Macaca fascicularis: one gene and its partners. The main gene of each other region encodes a partner of the protein of the gene in region 2 in a complex. Links are inferred from orthologs where the notes say so. Each region holds a gene or a part of one and is shown on either strand. Other genes may lie near its edges.

Region 1 (4,274 bases), on a different chromosome or scaffold from region 2:
TTTATTGCCTTTAAATTTGTATGAAATAATGCGGGGAACATAGATCACTGGGAGAATGGATGCACCTCTGTAAGGATCTTAGTCATTCAACACACGTGTAGGGATGAGGAAACTGAGGCACGACTTACTGGATAGGAAGGTAGAGATATTAGCAAGAGCCTTCCCTTGTCTGGGCTTTCTTTCTATCTTTGAGTCACCTTTGCGCAGTTTTTCATTGCACTTCACAAGCCTCTGAGGCGGCAGGGCAGACAGGACACCCCTATTTTATAGACGAAGAAACTTAGGCTTACAGAGGTTTCCTGCCCAAAATCATAAAGGTGGAGCCTAGACCTTCTCAGTCTCCACCAACTGTATCTCGGTTATTCACAATCCTTTCTACCCACATCCAAATGGACACCGTGGCTCTGCAATTTCTGTCAAAAGGGCTCTTTGGCAACAGGAAAAACGTCATGGCTCCATTGTATTGTAGAGGATGGGAATGGGTGTTCCGGCTAAATCCCCCCTCCCCTTTCCCTCCACAGCTCAGATGGCAAATGTGGGACCCAGGGACCTCCCTCTCCAGCAGGGCTGTGCGCACAACTTTGCACAGATTACCTGCTAAGTCAGAGCCGAAAGCTAACACAGGTGCCAAAGGATAATAAAGGTGAATGAGATTTACTCAAAATTGGAAACTTGGTGTTTGGTTTTTCAGGAGAACAATCAACAACTGTGATTTGAAGTTCACCAGGGAATTCTGATAGATCTAATCAAAGACAGAGTGCTGGTTTGAAATGATTAAAAGGTAACAGTAAAAGGGAGAGTAAAACCCCAGTCCCAACGCAACCCATAAATCTACTTTGTCTTCCTCGAAAGAGGGGTGCGCGTGGGCTAGTCTCCCGGCGATCATCTCACCTAAGCGGGGAATCCCTTTCTCTCAGCACACGGTGAAGTTCCCCCTTGGCTGTCCCACCTGGCCGTCCCTCTAGGATTTCGGCCAGTCCCTAATTGGCTCCAGCAATGTCCAGCCGGAGCTTCTCTGGGCCTCCGAGTGGGAGAAAAGTGAGAGCAGGTGCTTCCCCAACCGCGCGCTCCTCCAGGGCCCGGCAGGATCCCGCGCCCAAGTCGGGGCTAGTTGGTCGGCGCCTTTTCTCCCAGACGAAGCCGCTCCAGGGCTGATCTCGGAGGACGCGCGGCCGGCAAAGAGAATGAACCTGAGCGTCCCCGAAACGTCCTGCGCGGCTCCCGGGAGATGGGAGAAACAGGTGCCTTTCTCCGACGTCCGCTAGCGACGCCTCTAGCACCTTGCCCACTGCCGCGCCCCTCCCGGGGACCTCTGGCCCTCCGCGCCCCCGCCCCCGGTGACAGGGCGGAGGCAGGCCCGGCTCAGGTAATTATTGCCAGCGGAGCCAGCCGGGGAGCGGGGGTGGGCGCGCCGGCGGGGGGCGGGCGGCGCGGCAGGGCGCGGGCATAAAGGGGCGCGGCGCGGGGCCCCGGCGCCTGGCTCCAGCGCAGCATGCCCGCCAGCGCCCCGCCGCGCCGCCTGCGGCCGTCGCCGCCGTCGCTGTCGCTGTCGCTGTTGCTGGTGCTGCTGGCACTGGGCGGCCGCCGCCTGCGCGCGGAGCCGGGCGACGGCGCGCAGACCTGGGCCCGTTTCGCGCGCCCTCCCGCCCCCGAGGCCGCGGGCCTCTTCCAGGGCACCTTCCCCGACGGCTTCCTCTGGGCCGTGGGCAGCGCCGCCTACCAGACCGAGGGCGGCTGGCAGCAGCACGGCAAGGGTGCGTCCATCTGGGACACGTTCACCCACCACCCCTTGGCACCCCCGGGAGACTCCCGGATCGCCAATGTGCCGTCGGGCGCGCCGTCGCCGCTGCAGCCCGCCACCGGGGACGTGGCCAGCGACAGCTACAACAACGTCTTCCGCGACACGGAGGCGCTGCGCGAGCTCGGGGTCACCCACTACCGCTTCTCCATCTCGTGGGCACGGGTGCTCCCCAATGGCAGCGCGGGCGTCCCCAACCGCGAGGGGCTCCGCTACTACCGGCGCCTGCTGGAGCGGCTGCGGGAGCTGGGCGTGCAGCCGGTGGTCACCCTGTACCACTGGGACCTGCCCCAGCGCCTGCAGGACGCCTACGGCGGCTGGGCCAACCGCGCCCTGGCCGACCACTTCAGGGATTACGCGGAGCTCTGCTTCCGCCACTTCGGCGGCCAGGTCAAGTACTGGATCACCATCGACAACCCCTACGTCGTGGCCTGGCACGGCTACGCCACCGGGCGCCTGGCCCCCGGCATCCGGGGCAGCCCGCGGCTTGGGTACCTGGTGGCGCACAACCTCCTCCTGGTGAGTGCGAGGGGCCAGGCGGAGGGCCACGCGGGGGAGACAGAGGGCCCCAGGTGGGGCCAGGGGGAAGTGTGGGAACTGAGATTCCCCCAGACGAGGCTTCACTTGGACACGTGTATGTGGTCACCAGGGGGAAACTGAGCAGCTCTGACTTCCGTTGGAAAGTGAGGAATTAGGAGATAAATCCCTCAGTGGGCACACGAGTGAGTGCCCCTTGGAGCCCATCTGTGGAAAGGAAGTGGGAATCGATTTCAGCAGTGAGGAAAGGAACTCCTTTCTCTGGGTGTAGAGGAATTCCTAGAGGTGATGGCGGGGTGGATTTGCTAGGGGAAACTACAGGAGAGAATGAGCAGGGTGGATGAAGGAAACACGTTTGTTCTTAAGCTGCACAAGAGAGAATTACTGTCTGTGGAGATGTCACGAGTTCAGTGTTAATCCAATAAGATCTGTCTTGCTTGTGGCACAAATTCACACTGTTGTGAAAATGTCAAAACACAGCTCCCCGAGAGTCAGCTTTAAACTGTGTTTGGAGGTCCCTTCTGCGGTAGGGTAGGGAACTCTGCTTCCACCAAACTTATTCACCAGGGGTGTGAAGACCACTTTATACAATCTCAAACAAAGCTAGTCATAGAAAAACAGAAACAACTGCAGGGTGATATAGATTGTTCTACCACACCTGTATTTCTACAGTGCTCTCTACAGTTGAAAGGGTTCCTCACTTATGACATTGTTAGCCTGATAAAATTAATTGTAACACCCCTGCGCAAAAGATTTTATTAATTTTGACAGCAAGAAATATTTATTATGCCATGGTAAAGTTGTCTCAAGTATTTCTTCCTCCTTTTTTCTCCTTAGTGTTCAAATTTAGGTACCATTGTTTTCTCCTTAGTGTTCAAATTTAGGTACCATTGTTTTCTCCTTAGTGTTCAAATTTAGGTGCCATTGTTTTGGGGATTCATTTATAATCATGTCAGTTGTTAGTACACTTTGTACAGAATTTTGTGTCACAATAAAATATTTTATGTACATATATAAACATTTTAATAAAAGTGTTTAAATGTACAGCTTTTGGTACCCAATTTTGATGTCTTGTGGGCCTACTGGAAGACCTATTTTTAAATTTAGAATTCAGCCACATATTCTGAACAAAGTCAGTATGAAAACCATTTCTAAACACTTTTAATTAAAGTCATAGATAATATGGGCAGAGCACTACTGGGATATTGAGGTAACTTAGTGCTCTGAGCTGCTGGTAATGTTGTAATAATGGCTAAATTAGATTTTATGTCAGTTCCACAAAACCTGTTTGCTGCTACTGGCCAGAAAAGAATGTTGGATTTGTTTGGAAACACATTGTGATTTTTGTGATTTCATACTTATGTATGTCTTTTCATAAGGGTACTTTAGAGCAGTGATTCTTACACTCTTTCAATCCTTTTATGGAACTGAAAAACCCTAAAGACCACCAGTGTATGGTTGGTGATAGAAAAACTATGGGAAGAATGGTCTCACTTTTTGAAGAAAACATAAGCAAGTTATCAGTTCATACTGGAAGCAAATAAATGGATCAGCTGGAGGATCTAATAGATCATGCCCGTAAAATCTTTACTTTAGATTTAAATCCTACAAGTTCTATTTTTAGAGTCCCTAGGATAAACTCGTGTATACAAAGTAGTCAGTTGTTATTATAGTGACTTATAGGATCATTTTATTATAAGATAAAGACTTGCATGCTCTCTGGAGCTCTGGTGTTTTAAATAATCAACATGTTTTAGATCTTTGTGCCTACTCGTGGTCCTCTGATTAACTTCTCAGTTATATTTTTCAACACTTAACACAAAAAACTTGCCAAACACTAACCATCCTTCCTAGAAATGCAGTGGACTTTGTATTTAGAGGAAATTAGTAACAGGTGAATGCTTGATTTTGCTGATGCTGCAAACAAACTGCTAGTTGG
Region 2 (4,250 bases):
TGGGGTGACTTTGGACCCCCCTCCTCCAGGAGACCCCCAAGCCCCTGGACTCCCACCCAAGCTCAGCTGTAACAAGGGGTGCCCCATTCCCAGTTCCAGCTCCAAGTACCTGAGAGCTGGGGGGCTGGGGGGTGAGTAACGAGGGGTTCCTAGGCTTACACAAGGACCTGGAGGCCACGCTCAGCCCAGGTTAATGAACCACCCAGAGGCCCACGCGGCTCAAAGTCCAGCCCGGCAGAGGAGGGGTGGGGGAGGATTCAGTCAGCACCTTCAGGAAAGACCCTGCACCCCGAGACCCCTGCTGGGGGGTGTGGCGCTGTGGGAGAGCCGACCTTGTCTTCCTCTCTGCACCCTGGGGGGTCCCCCTAGGCTCCAACCAGGAACACAGCCCTCTGGGGAGATGGCGGCTGTCCTGGCAGGGCCTGGGGTGGCCAGGGCAGTCCAGGGGCCAAAACCTTCCCCACCGCCCTTGACCACTGCCAGCCAAGGCTCCATAATTTATGTTCCCAGGCAAGCGCCAGCCTAGACCTCAGTCCATTTCACGAGGTCTTTGTATTTTTACTGCCCGGCCCATCTTGTTAAGGAACCGGATTAAGTTTATTGACCGATCAACTCACTCACTACCTGTTTCACCAGCTCCAGTGCGGGCGGGGTCGCCGCCCCAAGGCGGGGGGCGGGGCGTTCCAGGGGCGAGTAGGGGAGGCCCCGCGCGCCCGCCGGGGATCCGGGAGAGGCTCTGTAGCCTGGCCGCCGCCCCTCCCCGGGGCTGGCTGACATTCCCGGGCCGTAGGGAGTAATATCTTTATCTGAATGAGAATACGAAAGCCAGGCTCCCCCCGCGGCCGCCCCTCCCGCACCCCTGGAAGCGGGGCCGCCCGAGCAGGCGCTAAAAGCGCGCGCTGACCTCCCGACGGCCCCTGTCACGCCGCTGAATGACACGCACATTCAAGCGCCGGGCCACTTTCATTCATAAAAAAAATGACATTGTTCCGGGAGGCTGCAGCCGCCGCCGGAGAAAGGGGCGCGGGGGCGCGGGCGGGGCGGCCGCCATCTGCCTCGGCCCTCCCGGCGCCCTCCCCGGCCTGCCGCGCCCGCAGCCGCTCACACCTCCCCGCGAGCCGCCGCGCCGCCATCAATGCGCGGTCTGTGGCCGCGCCGAGGTACAAAGGAGCGGCTGTTCGGGCCTGGGCCCGGGTGGGGCGCGAACTCACCGGGCCAGGGCCTCCCTCCGCGCGGCCGCCGGGCTGGGCTGTGCGCGCCCCCTTCGCCCGCCCGGAGCCGGCAGCGTGTACGGGGCGGCGGCACCGGAGCTCTCGGCCCGACCCGCGAGGAACCGCGGCGCGCGTGCAGGGCGGGCCGGGCGCCCCTTCCCCTCACCTCCCTTCAGACCCTTGACGTCCCGCAGGACCTGGACCGCCAGCCCGGTCTAGGGCCCGCGACGCTGGGACACGCGCTCCTCGCTCGCCTGGAGCTCGGCGCGCACCCACGGGGAAGCGCCCTCAGCCCCCAGGCACTGGCAGGGTCGGCAGCGGGGGCGCTGGAGGCTGCAGCCTCGTCCGGCGGGCAGGGGCCGGGCTTCGCTGACGCGCACACCCACCCTCAGAAGTCCGGCCTCTCCCCTTGGCCGAAGCTCGCCACAAACTGGGGCCCGGGGGAGGGGGACGCCAACAATGGGAACTTTCCGTCTGCGCAGAACCCGAAGAACAGCGGGAATCGTGGAAATGGGGAAACCCGCGCCCTCCCGACAGGCCAGGGCTGGGGAGCCGCAGGGGACCGGGCTGCGGACGCCAACCCCCGGCCTGGCTCCCCGTGGCGGCCTCGCATTTGGGGGGTACCTGCGGCTCCAGGCGCCCCACAAGTCGCCGCGCTACCGCTGGACGCGCTCTCCGGGAAGGAGGCAGCGGAATCCGGGCGCTGACCCCGGGGCGTCACTCACACCCGGAGTTCCCTCCGACCTGGGGCCGGTTCCCGTCCCCAACGCCTCTGCCCGCACGGGCCGGCCCCTCCCGTGCCCAGTGGGTCCCTTCTTACCTGCCACTCGCCCCACGACGCGCTGCTCCGTCCCCAAGGACTCCGAGGAGGCGCCGGCCACGATGGCCACTGCCACGCAGAGCGCGAGGGCGCAGGCAGGGGCGCCCATGGCGGGGGCGGGGGCCGCGGCGTCCTCAGGCGGCGCACGCGGGCATGCTGCCCCCCACGGCCCGGCGCGGGCACCGGCGGGAGGCGGGCGCCGCTTGGGAAACTGCGGGAGGAGGAGGGCAGCTCGTTAGCGGCGCGGGTAGGGACGAAAGCGGCGGTGGCCGGCTCCTGCGCCCCGACCCCTCCGACCCCCAGCCGCCCCGCCCGCCGCCGCCGCCGCCCAGAGCTCCCGGGCCGCCTGGCGCCGGCCGCCTCCTCCCCGCCGCGGTTCCTCCCTCCTCCCCCTTCCCTCCCTGGCTGCTGCAGAGCCCTCCCAGGGCGGCGGCGGCGGCGGCAAACTTTCCGGAGCGGGAAGCCCGCGCCCCGGCCCGGCCCGCCGCAGGGACTGCTGTGGTTCCGCGACTGCCGCGCCCCGGCCCCTCCGCGCGCACCGTTGGACCCCTCCGCGCGCCTGCCCGGACCCAAGCACCGACCTGGCGGGCGCCGGAGTCCGGCTCGCTAGGCGCGGCTCCCGCTCCGGCTCGCTGTACGCAGGCCCAGCTCCCGCCCCGTCCCTCCGGCCGGCGGCCCGCCGGTGCGTCCGTGCGACCGGCAGAGCAGGACCGCGCGGCGCCAGCTGCTCGCGACGCCGCCACCGCCGCCGCCGCCGCCACCGCGCACTGAGCCTGGGTTGCCCCGCGCGCCGCAGCCAGTGGGGGACGGTCCGCGCCCCGCCCCGGCCCCGCCCCGCTCCCGCCCGGCCCCCGCCCGACTCGCCGGGGCGCAAGGCACGCCCCCTCGGGGCGGAGCGGGGCATCCGAGGGGGCGTGGCCGGGCGGGGGCGCCCGGCGGTCTCGAGGGCGTGGGAGCCGGGGCAGGCGGGCGAGGCCCCCAATCGCACCGCGGGGCGGCCCGGTGGGCGGTGGGCACGGGGCGCACCGAGGGCGAGCGCAGGCCTCCGTTTGCACAGCGCGCAGCTCGGGTCCCCTGAGGCTGTGCTCAGGAGCTCAGAGGGGAGGTCTCGGCGGGGGTCGGGATGTCAGGAGGCGTCGCCAAGATGCCGCGGAGCTGAACCCTGTGGTGTGAGCGGGAATTCCTCAGGTGGAGGAGGGCAGGGCGGCATTCCAGGCCGAGCCTCCGGTGTGCGCCGCAGGCCTGGGGCAGCCCGGTGCGGCCTGCGTACCTGACTGGCGAGGAGCAGAGGCTGCGTTGCCTAACCTGGGGCCGAGCCGCATGCACCTAAGCCGCCTGAGTGCCCAGCCCCGAGAGGTCCCTACCCCTGCCCCCCAGGAGGACACAGGCCTGGGACTGGCTGCCTGCCCGGCCTAGAATGAAGGGCAGGGGCTGGAGACCCCTGGCTTGGGGAGCGCAGCCCGGCTCTGAGGGAGAATAACGAAGAGCTGGTGGCAGAGCCTGAGCTGGCCCGAGGTTCTAGGCTCCACGGGGCGGGCTCAGAGTCCAGCTGAGGAGGGTTGGGACTGGTGAGGTGGGTTCCCAGGAGGGGAAGATACTGCCCTGCGGGGGACGCTGCGGGTGTCTGGGTCCCCTTACCCCACATGACTGTTAGCTTCTGTGTCCACCCTCACAAGGAAAAGGCCAACTGCTCCCATCTTCAGGCAAAGCCCAAGGGGGTCCGGAGCCCATGGGAGCCAGTGAGCTGGGGGGAGGGCCGGCCGAGTCTGCTGCCCGCCTGGCTTGTGGCTTCCAGGACTAAATGTAGTCATCAGGAAAATGGGCGCTAAAAGTCCCTCAGTGACTGGCTGTTTGCTGACCCTACCCAGCCCATGCACAGCTCAACCCTGCAGCTCCCAGAGGCCAGGGTGTCCCTGGACTGACCTCAGGGCCTTGGAAGGGCTCTGCTCCCAGGGAGCCCTCATGCCCACCTCTCTGTGCCCACTTGGTGGCTCAGCACTTGTCCTCGGCCACCCTTGTTTCCTGCTCTGGCCAAGTGCATGTCCCCAGACCATCTTGGGGCCCAGCCTCACTAACCTCCAAGTGCACTGTCCAGCCCCCTCCAGAGCACAGCCCCAGGCCACTGCCAGTCAGGCCCCTCCCAGGACACCGCTCCCCAGGGCACAGCAGCACACTGGCCCTGCTCTTTTTTTTTTTTTTTTTTTTTTTTTTTTTTTTTT
Region 3 (4,037 bases), on a different chromosome or scaffold from region 2:
CTCGCTCTGTCGCCCAGGCTGGAGCACAGTGGTGTGATCTCAGCTCACTGCAACCTCCGCCTCCTGGGTTCAAGCAATTCTCCTGCCTCAGCCTCCCAAGTAGCTGGGATTACAGGCACGCACCACCACGCCCAGCTAATTTTTGTATTTTTAGTAGAGACAGGGTTTCCCCATGTTGGCCAGGCTGGTCTTTAACCCCTGACTTCAAGTGATTCTCTTGCCTTGGCCTCCCAAGGTGCTGGGATTATATGCATGAGCCACCACACCTGGCCTCTTTTGGGTAACTTTTAATTGTATTGTGTAATTTTTTTCCTGCACTTTTTCCCCCCCATAATACACGTGACAACTGATTGAACAGTACAAAAAGTTATCTACATAGACTAGGAAAGGCAGATCTCTCTCCCACTCCCCTGACCCTAAGTTCCCCTCCCCATATTCGTGTTTAACTCTTTAAAGATGCAATGTTTAGCTAGTGCCTGTGTCTAAGAAAACAAAACCGTATTTCTGTTTTTAAAGATCTGAAGTCAGTTCCATTTGTTTTGCTGCCTCTCAATCCTTTTAATTCAGCTAGCACTCAATGATCCCTTGGGGCCTGATACGAGGTGGGTTTTCAAGGAAAAGGTCTACAGTTCAGAATGCCAGCCCAGGAGGTCGACTCTTCACACTCACTCCCCACCGTAGCCAGCCTGTTCCGTTCTACCCTAATTCTTGTTCAGGAGGAAACGTCTTTAAGGAGTTCCTTTCAGCAATGGGATTCCAGGATTCGAGACAAGTTGTGTAAACATTCTCTAGTTGGATGCCGCCCTTTCCATCTAAGAGAATCAAAACAATTTACCATCATCTACTATTCTGCATTTTAAATCACATAGAGTCTTGAATCAGAGTAAGAGTGGCCGCTCCATGAGAGGCGCAAAGTCGCATTTCCTAAAGTCTGGTAGTGAGCTGGCTGACAAGGCAGGACGACAGACCACAAGGTCCTTGAGGGGTTGTGTCTTACTTTTCAGTCACAGAGCTTGATAGAATGCCAGGCACATTGTAGATCCTGTTAAATATCCATTGAATAAAATGAACAACACTTGGGGTTCATCAAGTATATCCAGATTTAATTGAAATTTTTGCCACGAGACTCACACTTGGTTTCCAAGATGTTGACTCCTGAGTCTTAGTATATCCTCTAGAGTTCTGGAACCTGTTTGGTATTTGGAGAGAACTTTTCTCTCTCCTTTTATCTCCTATCAATATGCATCTAGCACTTGAGGAGGTTTAAACTGTCAATTTCGCATGTCATATATCTTGCAACTTAATTTTGCATGTTATATATCTTGCAACCAGGTTTAAGGACCTTTGGTTCCTAGAAGAATAAATGCCTCACACACAGCAAGGTCACAGCAAAAATAATTAACTTATTACAACAATAAAAGGCAAATCATAATTCCTATGTTTTCTTTAGTTAGAGATTGTCTAACTAATTTTTCTTTCCCTTAATTTGAGCTATATTGGATCACTTTGCATTTTTATATATTCTCAGAGGTATTCACATGTTTTCTTAAAATAGAAGATCCAGTCTTTTTCAATATCCCTGCTCCCACCACATTACCCCTTATATAGGTGCGCACAAAGTGGCCCTCATTTGAATCGTTGCTAATGGATTGATTATTGTGGATTGTGATCCAATTCTCCACAAACCTGATCTTTAAAAACATTCCAGTTGTCTCACATTGCCAATAAGTTTCTAACTAGCTTGACTTGCTACTGACTGGACACCTTTCAGTTCCACGGAGAAGAATCACCAATGCGTACTGGGTACCGGGGTACCTGAGTATCTGAAACAGCCTTTAAACCTGTTAAAGTTTAAAGGTTGGATGGATGGATGCATGGACAAATGAATGGGTGGATGGGTTGTATACTTGGCCATTCTCACCAAGACAACATTCCTGGACGGTCTGTGTTTAATACATTTTTCCAAGAATTTTTATAAGGCCAGAATTGGAAAGAGCCCCCAGATTTATCTATTACAATCTGGGTATGACCTGGGAATCTTCTTTCCAACCTGCCTAGTTAACCCAGCCTGAAGTCCAGGAGCTGAAACTTAGTGTCTGTTGATCTGCCTGGCTTCTTTTTCTCTTAGACTCCTTGCTTTTTTTCAGTATATTTTCTGAATCTTTTGATGGGGCAAAGGGAATATGGCTCCTACTGTGGGAAGGGTTTTAGTTTAAACAAAAAGTATGCATGTTAGAAAAACCAGCAAATACTAATTAGGAGAGTGACAGAATCTTCCCCTAAGATTTAAATACACACACACACACACACACACACACACACACACACAGACAATAAGTGGTTCCTGGGCAGAAAGCTTGGAGGGTTGGATTAGCCCTCCAGTCTAGTCCCCAACCTCCCCAAGCCCCCTGTAGATGGACAACAGGGGCGCACCCCTTCTTCCCAGCTTGAAGTCCTACTCACTGTAGATGGTCTGATGTGGTGCGCCATCCACGTGGCCATTCTTGTGGATCTGCAGGTGGTAGCTGTTCCTGGCTGTGGCTGTGTACAGGTGGATCAGGCCACCCCAGCTGGAGCCGAGCAATGGGGAGGCATTGGGATAGGCTCTGATGACGCTCATGCTGCAGACGCTGCACAAGGCACAGACCCAGAGCCTGAGGCGGGCCCCCAACATCACGCCCTGCTCTGAGTGGCTGGTGCTGAGATTGAAACCTGACACTCCTGTCGGGACTCTCCTGGCCCAGGCCTCACTGGCCTTTTCCTTCTCCCTTGCAAGTAGCTGGTGTGAGGATCCTAGACTGAATTCCCTCCTTTTTGCCATCAGACTTTTAAAGGGTAGCAGTGTGACATCAAACAGGAAAAACTCCGCTGTCCACATCCTCTGTGTTGTAATCAGCCCATTGAAAGAGAGTGCAGAGACCCCGGAGGCGCACGGAAGGCACGTCGGTTCCAGACACACACACCCCCCTCAATTTCAAGCCAACGCTCCAAAAAAATGAATGACGCGTGGGCAAAAGTTATCTGCCGCTCTGGGCTGTCTGTTGACCTGTCCCACGTCCATCAGGAAATGCGAAGGCAGCCAGCGGTTCCCAAAAAAAATCCAGCTTCAGTCAAGCAGTCAACCGACTCCCAGGCAATTAATCTCCCGTCGAGTTTACTTATTTTGGTTTTCTTTAAATTCCAATCAGCAAGTATGTATCAGTGCTTAATCTATGAGCAGGATTCGGTGGCTAGCTTGTAGGATATAGAGATACATGACACCGTCAGGCAGATGGCATCCTCTGAGAACCCCCAATTCGTGAAAGATGGGAGCTGGGAGCAGGGGCACAAAAACCAAAGTTGCCATTTTGGGAAGATTTTGAAATGGAAGAAAAAGAAGCAAGGTCTTGAGCTCACTGAACATGCCAAGGTTCGATTTCTCAGCGTCCTTAGTTTGGACTTCGCTGAACATGCCAAGTTTCAATTTCTCAGTTTCCCTAGTTTGGACTATCGAGGACAACTAAATGAATAGTCTCTCCAGGAGTAAGGAGACCCGTTCAGAGACCTCATGGGGATTGGAAAGGCTGCTGGCTGAGCACCGGGAATCCGAGCCTCAGGACAGGGTGTCCCCACATTTAGTGTCTGTACATGAGTGCTCAGCTTGGTGCTGGATGCCTGCCTGCAGATGCTGTTCACAGTGCGCCCTCTGGGAAGCTACACCTCATGTTGGGGGGAATAGTCCTGGCACGCACAGTCTAAAGGGGAGCAAGCTACTGCAACATACACCCGAAAAAATACCCAAGGAGATTGCTCCTCTTCCAATTTCCCATGTACTGAGTACATGCCATGTACAGGCATCAAGCTAGACATCACGTACAAGTTGATATAGGAGACAGCAAGATGTGATTCCTATCTCGAGGAGCTCAAATCTAATGCAGGAGGCAGATAAAAATAAGTAACCGTAATACAAAATGAGTGCAAGCATACAGGTATAGACAGAAAGAAATGGCATCTGTTACCCTACATTTGTGCAGTTTTTTTTTTATAGTTTACAAAGC

What was found.
Region 1: the proteins of FGFR3 (region 2) and KL are in contact, whole or in part, in a cryo-EM structure (PDB 7YSU), measured with the Homo sapiens proteins. The link is inferred for Macaca fascicularis from reciprocal best matches to the Homo sapiens genes FGFR3 and KL. Residues at the interface, in NP_000133.1 of Homo sapiens: Gln286, Leu288, His290, Val291, Val293, Gly299, Thr303, Pro304, Tyr305, Val306, Thr307, Val308, Leu309, Lys310, Glu320, Leu324, Ser325, Leu326, His327, Asn328, Val329, Glu332, Asp333, Thr338, Leu340, Phe347, His349; in NP_004786.2 of Homo sapiens: Ser539, Gln540, Phe541, Thr542, Asp543, Asn545, Val546, Tyr547, Leu548, Trp549, Asp550, Val551, Ser554, Lys555, Arg556, Leu557, Val563, Lys566, Arg568, Tyr571, Val573, Ala576, Pro580.
Region 3: the proteins of FGFR3 (region 2) and FGF23 are in contact, whole or in part, in a cryo-EM structure (PDB 7YSU), measured with the Homo sapiens proteins. The link is inferred for Macaca fascicularis from reciprocal best matches to the Homo sapiens genes FGFR3 and FGF23. Residues at the interface, in NP_000133.1 of Homo sapiens: Glu157, Arg158, Asp160, Lys161, Leu163, Leu164, Ala165, Val166, Pro167, Arg223, Asp244, Leu246, Glu247, Arg248, Ser249, Pro250, Val277, Tyr278, Ser279, Asp280, Ala281, Gln282, Pro283, His284, Ala312, Gly313, Ala314, Thr316, Thr317, Asp318; in NP_065689.1 of Homo sapiens: Ser29, Leu32, Gly33, Ser34, Trp36, Tyr43, Ala45, Ala47, Arg48, Asn49, Ser50, His52, Ile75, Arg76, Ser77, Glu78, Asp79, Ala80, Gly81, Val83, Val84, His117, Gln118, Thr119, Asn122, Gly123, Tyr124, Asp125, Leu158, Ser159.

Annotation. Positions count from the first base shown.
Region 1 is NC_088391.1:12,724,689-12,728,962, forward strand, and holds the start of KL (klotho), read left to right. Parts: upstream 1-1,474; 5' UTR 1,475-1,492; coding exon 1,493-2,317; intron 2,318-4,274. UniProt on the Homo sapiens protein: May have weak glycosidase activity towards glucuronylated steroids. However, it lacks essential active site Glu residues at positions 239 and 872, suggesting it may be inactive as a glycosidase in vivo.
Region 2 is NC_088379.1:1,935,357-1,939,606, reverse strand, and holds the start of FGFR3 (fibroblast growth factor receptor 3), read right to left. Parts: upstream 2,801-4,250; 5' UTR 2,613-2,800; intron 2,243-2,612; 5' UTR 2,141-2,242; coding exon 2,032-2,140; intron 1-2,031.
Region 3 is NC_088385.1:5,238,102-5,242,138, forward strand, and holds the start of FGF23 (fibroblast growth factor 23), read right to left. Parts: upstream 2,801-4,037; 5' UTR 2,675-2,800; coding exon 2,464-2,674; intron 1-2,463. UniProt on the Homo sapiens protein: Regulator of phosphate homeostasis. Inhibits renal tubular phosphate transport by reducing SLC34A1 levels. Up-regulates EGR1 expression in the presence of KL. Acts directly on the parathyroid to decrease PTH secretion. Regulator of vitamin-D metabolism.